Linked DNA regions of Xenopus tropicalis. The protein of the gene in region 1 purifies or fractionates together with the protein of each later gene. This does not show direct contact. Links are inferred from orthologs where the notes say so. Each region holds a gene or a part of one and is shown on either strand. Other genes may lie near its edges.

Evidence for each region.
Region 2: the proteins of tmprss6 (region 1) and hjv purify together in Homo sapiens (co-immunoprecipitation; 3 studies listed by IntAct). This does not show direct contact. The link is inferred for Xenopus tropicalis from reciprocal best matches to the Homo sapiens genes TMPRSS6 and HJV.

Annotation. Positions count from the first base shown.
Region 1 is NC_030680.2:123,220,650-123,224,149, reverse strand, and holds part of tmprss6 (transmembrane protease serine 6), read right to left. Parts: intron 2,285-3,500; coding exon 2,148-2,284; intron 1,409-2,147; coding exon 1,250-1,408; 3' UTR 1-1,249. UniProt on the Homo sapiens protein: Membrane-bound serine protease. Through the cleavage of cell surface hemojuvelin (HJV), a regulator of the expression of the iron absorption-regulating hormone hepicidin/HAMP, plays a role in iron homeostasis.
Region 2 is NC_030684.2:128,550,467-128,553,966, forward strand, and holds part of hjv (hemojuvelin), read right to left. Parts: intron 710-3,500; 5' UTR 655-709; coding exon 576-654; intron 188-575; coding exon 1-187. UniProt on the Homo sapiens protein: Acts as a bone morphogenetic protein (BMP) coreceptor. Through enhancement of BMP signaling regulates hepcidin (HAMP) expression and regulates iron homeostasis.

The sequences.
Region 1 (3,500 bases):
CTTAAAGTGGAAACCCTGCTGTGCAAGCAACTGAATTTTTCATATGACATCACCTCCCTTAAAGAAATGATAGTTCTTTAGTATCTAATGATACCAATATGTCTACAGTCTAATATACATAAAGTCTATTACGGTAGGTGGCTTTATATTTGATTTGGTTCAGCAGACCAAATGGCTGATTGGTGGGAATAATTCTGTTTTAGATGGCCATGTGGTTCCTGTGGCGGATGGCTGTTCAAGTCCTGCAAACAGGGCACTAATATGACTGAGATATTTGCAATGTCTCCAAATCTATGATCTGCACAGCTCCATACATTATTGTATTCTTTATGTGAAGTATTAATAATAATAACAAAGCTCTTTTTTTTGCTTTAGATATTTTTTTGGCTTCTAGGCCTCTATTACACAGGAAGATTAGTATTTGCTCCTTGTAGCTAAATGTACAAGCAGGTACCATGATAGGAAACAATAAAAGCTGTTTCTAGCCAGCTACATGTAGTATCTACTAAATATAGGTGACATGTAGCTGCCATTCAAAGACTGATATTGGCTATGATTATGTTTTCTGTGATGTCCTCTGTGTAGAGCTTATTTAGATTGAAAAGACTAAAAGATCTCTTTAGAGGATGACTACACCAAGCCATGGATGCAGTCATCTCCTGATAGTTCTCTACGAACTCCCCATATGATATCTTTGTTAACTCTATGATAAATGATTAGATGAAGGTTATTTGGCTCACCCCTTGGTTGGCCAAGCAGACAAAGATCCATGATACCTTGATAGGTCTGTACGAACCCACCATATGCTATTGTTACCTCTGAGCCAAATGATTAGATAAGGCTTATTTGGCTCACCTCTTGGTTGGCCAAAGCAAACAAAAATCCATTGATTTGGAGACCTCAACAAACATGAGATCTGCCAGTGTATGGCCAGATGAAGATGAATATATATTATATTCAGTTTCTCAATGAAGCCTTATATGTTATATTTAGTTTCCTTAGAAGTGAAGGTTACAAATGTAGAACGTGTTTATCTAGGAAGCTTGAAAATAAACAAATTAAAAAGTAGCTTCTAATTCAAATGTGGGCATGTGGTCAGTCTTCACAAAACAAATACATTTAACTGATGAACTTGTATGTGATTCCACAAATGGTGCTTTGAAACATTCTTCTGTTTTTTCTTTAATCCTTAGAAGTTCCACTACTTTGTTGACTGTTTTCTAATTTCATTATGTAGAAATGACTCATTTTACAATGTGATAGATTCGATCCATTGTACAAGTCTTGTTATGCGGCTATACACCCCAAAGTATCTGGGTATGCCACAGCCAGCCCCCCAGCTCACCAAACCTGCTTGGAACCAACGCCCACTGGCAGTTTTACAAACCAAAGGGCTCCCGGAGTCACCCTAGGAAATACACAAAAACAATCAATGTAAAATTCTTTATACGCTCACTATTAGATAATATTAGATAACTGATTATTCTGAATCCTACCAGCCAAACTGAGGCTTATTAAAGTGGAGAGGAGAAAACTCATAGTTCTCATAGTGCTCATAGTTTTCCACAATATCTTCCTGAGCAGGGGCTACACAATCCTTCAGTGTTCCCAAACTCTCATACAGCAATTTATGGAATGAGGGTCAGCAGTAACATGTTCTATTAAAATCAATCATCTTTATTCTGCTTTATTTGAGGAATCAACAAGACCAGAGCCTTATGTGTTTCGTGTGTTACCACCCTTAGTCATAGGCACCAGTGGTAACACCCTTACACATAAGGCGTCTTTGAATGTAAAGGGTAAGCCAAATATCATTACTGAAGCAGAAAGGTCTTGCATAGAATGATATCTGGTGAGTGAAGGAAAATATAACAAGGGTTGAACTTGCCCGTCACAGGTACAAAGTCAGTGATTGGCCGCTGGTATAAACCCATTTGCCAAAAAGAGCACTTATTAAGCTGCATTTCAGGATGAACTATATATAGGCTGGATCTAAGAGTTAATCATGAGGATATTATTGTTTATAATATTTATTTTTAAGTAAATAAAGTATGTATTTGTAATATCTGTCTGTGTTTGAAGTAGAATATACTGTGGGCTTGTGGCAGTGCTGAAAGTAAAAGAATAAATACTTTTAGTGTAGATACCTGGCATGCATCTTTACTGCCATCACGATAACCAGCACAAAGCATTCTTGGTGAGATCTGGTAGCGGTAAAGTTCGGTACAGATATCCTGGGCGACAAGCTGAATATCTACCTTCTGGAGCACATCACTGGTGGGACCTAAGGACAACAGCGTGGATAATGCATATGCTCACAATGTACTTAGAATTGCAATATAACATTAGACCTGGCACATTAGTGCTCCTGCTTAGAGGGGTGCAGTTGTCTCTAATAATTTTATTACAGATTTCAAGGACAAGAAAGTCAGAACCATGAAATATTATCTTGAAACTAAGTTATCAGGGCTGTAAGGACAGATAAACAACTTTAACACTCTATGGCTTATACTAGTGTTGGATATTGATTCTTTAGGCCACAAATTATTGTATGCAGTTACATGAAGCCATTTTCTTTGTATTTGTCACTAGAAATACCTTCTCTTCTTAACCATTGTATCCATGTGCCCGGCTGGCTAGTTATGCCATATACAGCAAATATCACAACATCCAAAAGTCACTTATTTTCAGGGTTGACCCCTGCAAGGAACTGTGGTAGACAGTCTATATGGAGATTTGTAACTTACTGCTCCACCTTCAGAAAAGTGAATCTCCTGTAATTCTTGATTAGCAACTGTCCCACCACTGAGTATAGCTTGGCATAGTTGCACATTGGAACCATTTAACCCAAATGAAAGTACATGGAACAAAATAGCCTAACACAGTTTAGGGTGTCCTCCTGCTTTTGTTTCAAACAGTGCAAGAGCAGACACAGCTCTGAAGGAAAACGTATTTCATTATCGTTGTACTGGGTACTTTGTAACAAAATCATTAGAAATTATTCATAGTAAGCTTTTAATGATAGGAGCTTACTATTCATAATTTATAATGATTTTGTTACAAAGTAAGTACCCAGTACAAAGATAATAAGGAAATAGTAAGTTTCCCTTCAGAGCTGTGTCTGCTCTTTTTTGTTACAAAGTGCCCAGATTACTACTGACCTGTTAGATATGTAAAGGGATGTGCGCAGCTCTAACAGTGTGCAACAGGAGTTTCAATTGGTTTCCCCCAAAAAAACTAATATCCACTTCCAAATAGTCCCTGACTGCTACACAGCCCTTGTTAGACCTCTTTGAGGGAGCATCTCCAAACTATGATATGATACAGTTTTCTGTTCCTGTTGGTAGGTTTGGTTACTAGCCAAGGAAGGTATGTTCTCTGTGGATATTTTGTTATCACATAAAAAGTATGTGGCACAGCCTACAAGTACTGTTGTATAGAAACACAGAAAGAATGAGGGTTAGTGCAGCCATATTTATATCATGGTGATTCCTTATCAG
Region 2 (3,500 bases), on another chromosome or scaffold:
ATGATGTGCACTGCAGAGTGGTAGATCAGGTCTCCGCGGCAGGTGCGGGCAGTTTTGCGGGTACATTGGGAATAGGAGCGCAGGGCATTGCACTTCTGAATCTCTGCATTTCTGCCGGAACCCCTCAAGTTTAATGTAGCAGACACATATTCTGAATTGCATTTGATGATCTTACACTGGGCATTCACTGCAGGAAAATTAAAGAGCATTATTAGGCTTGCAGCAGAAATGTAGGTACAGATCTACCTATTTAGGGACCTTGGAAAACCAGTGGATCCTAATGTGCATTGTCAACTAGTCAATTGGCATCTTGTTGTCCCATGTATGGGGCCAAACATAGAAACACCCAGTTGATATATGGCTAGAATGGGCCCACATATCTATTAAACTAGGTGGAAAATACCTCTGGACAAGGTCCATATTGGAGCACTATGGCAAACCAGTGGAACCTAATGTGCATGGTCAACTTAAACTATAGATAGAGAAATGATAAGACCTAGTCAGCTTTATTGGGGAAATGCTAAATGACATGCACCTCCTGGTTAATGCGTGTTGGTGTAATTAGCCCTCGTTACCTTGCTCGCAGAAGATAAGCAGAAGGACCGTCTTGAAAAGGACACTGTCTAAACATGTTGGAAGATGGCGTTTACCCATTCCAATCTATCACAATCGCCCTCTGCTTTCACCTCCTCATCGACTCATCCTCTGCCTGTAAAATAAACAGGTAATCTGTAAGGAATCAGCTTGATATAAAACAGGAGATACAGCATGTTCTTCTGTATAGACAAGCAAATAATTCTAATTTTTAAAAATGATTTCCATTTTCTCTGTAATAATAAAACAGTATCTTGTACTTGATCCCAACTAAGATATAATTACCCCTTATTGGGGGCAGAACAGCCCTATTGGGTTTATTTAATGGTTAAATGATTCCCTTTTCTCTGTAATAATAAAACAGTACCTGTACTTGATCCCAACTAAGATATAATTACCCCTTATTGGGGGCAGAACAGCCCTATTGGGTTTATTTCATGGTTAAATGATTCCCTTTTCTCTGTAATAATAAAACAGTACCTGTACTTGATCCCAACTAAGATATAATTACCCCTTATTGGGGCAGAACAGCCCTATTGGGTTTATTTCATGTTTAAATCATTTTTTAGTAAACTTAAGGTATGGAGATCCAAATTACAGAAAGGTCCCTTATCCAGAAAGCCCTGAGTCCCGAGCATTCTGGATAACAGGTGCCATAACTGTACTAGAAATCCTTTGTTTTTAACCCAAAAAAGTGCGATTCCCAGGAAAGCCTCACTTGCTCAAGGGAAGATGAAATTAAGGGTTCATCGCCGTAAAATGAGCTTGGTGCTTTCGGCACAGATGAAATATTTTGGGCAAAAGGACTAGATGTAATTGCAGATTTAGGAGCTGGCTAAATTATGGATATGACACATCCCAGCTTGGCCGGCCTGAGCCGTCGCTTCTTAAATCTCAAGTGGTATTTAAACGAGTGGGCAGTTGTCCAGCACTCAGTGAGTCATCCCGCGCCTGTGCCAGCAGTTCTAATCCCGCAGCTGGCAGGCCTGCTAAGTGCCGCTTATGAAAATTCCCACAGTCCTGAGAAAGTGTGGAAGCTGGCACTGGGAAGGGAGTAAGCTGAGACGGCAGCGCCGAGTGAGGTCACCGCGCTTTCCAAAAACCCTACTGCAAATTATCACCCCCAGATTTTATTATCCAGCGGCAGCACTGCTACAGGGGGGAGCCCACCTAAACTAACTGGAGAAATCATCAATAGAAAGAAATAATATTGCAGCCTCCCTGTCAGTGTGTTGGTTGCTGGGGTCACTGACCCCACAGCCAGCATTTTTAATCGCAGGCCGGAAAAAGGCAGAATAGAAATGCTAACAATTCATACAAAATAAATGGGTCCACATATAAAATACAGAGTGACTGCAATAAACATGGCCTACATTGGCTGTATGGGGCCAAGGCAAAGCCCTCCCTGACCCTATATTGTATCAATTAATCTGTATTTTATCTTTGTGCTATCGTTAGATAACATTTTTTTGGGCTACGTTGACTGACCCTTGTAACTAGGCATTTGTTTCAGTGCCAGAATGAATAAACAGAAAGGTATATCTTCCCAATAAATATTTCTTCTGGATTCCAGGATCACTGACCTTAGCAACCGGACAGCAAAGTGATACTGCTGACACATTCCAGCTTTTTACAGGAACATATCAGTATCATGGAATAAGCCTACATAGTGCTATTCATAAAACCCTTGCTCCACCCCCACCCCAATTTGCCTGCTACTTATCTGTGCATGGGTGGGAGATATTGTTTATATTGGTGCTTCAGCCATATTAGGTCTTAGCCCTGCCCCCCAAGTGTGACATCACAGCTTCAGCAGCAGTGGAAGAAGGCATCATGGAGTCGGACACAGGTAAGTCAGAGGGTGAAGCAGGGCTAAGAGGGTAGTTTAAGAAAGTAGAAATAGCGCTAAGTAGGTTTTTAAAGTGATACTGAGTTTGATCCAGAGAAAAGATGGAAGGTGTCATTATCACTTTAATTTCAAGTTTTTGGGAAAGTTTACAGATGGACCATAATAAATGTATATGTTGCTTCCATGTCAGGAACTTTAGAGCAAGTTCCTGTAGGGATATAGAGATCTTAAGTGTGGGCTTGGACCCCCACCCCCCAAAATGTAGGAGGTACTAATGTGTGGGTTGACAAAATCCTGACCATTACCCAAACCTGGTACAACCTAACAAGCCGTCATTCTTTATATACCCGCCCCTTTGGGATTTATAAAAATCACAGCAGGTCTAGTAACCCATAGCAACCAATAATATTCTTGCTTTTTAAACAAGCAGTCAGTTAATGCTACCTATTAATTGGTTGCTATAGGATACTAGACCCAATGCAAAAGTTTGTGACTTTTATTACATTCCCCCCCACCACTAAGAGAGTAAAATCACGGCGGCTTTGTTACACTGTGCCGTGCTATTGCTGCGCGTTGCTTTCCCCTGTAGATTAAATGCTCTGCGGTTGAATTACACAGCACTGCACGTCCCATGGGCCAGTTTCCATGTATATTAAAGGTTGTATCAGTTTCCCTGTAGCCGCCCTGCTCCGTGCTTCGGTTACCGAGTGAAATGCAAGCTCTGTGTGCCGGTTTAGCTGCTTATTAAAATCCCGGTATCGGTTTCCCAGCAGATGAAATGCTGCGGGGCTCAGGTTCTGTGCTATTCAATCTGTAAGTCACATTTCCTGTAAGGGAAGAGTTCTGGTCTGGGTTTTCCCAAAGTGGGCCAAATGCAAGCTGTGTCAGGTTCTGTGGGTTTTACTAGCTCTGTGGCATGAGATTTCCTGCTGGCTACACTGGAGCCCACACACCACTCTGTGATACTAATGGCTGTTGGATTATTTAATGAAACTGTTGTAAAGGGTAACTTAACCCTCTGTGGGTATTTCCCCTTATCTTATCTTAAATAGGCTAC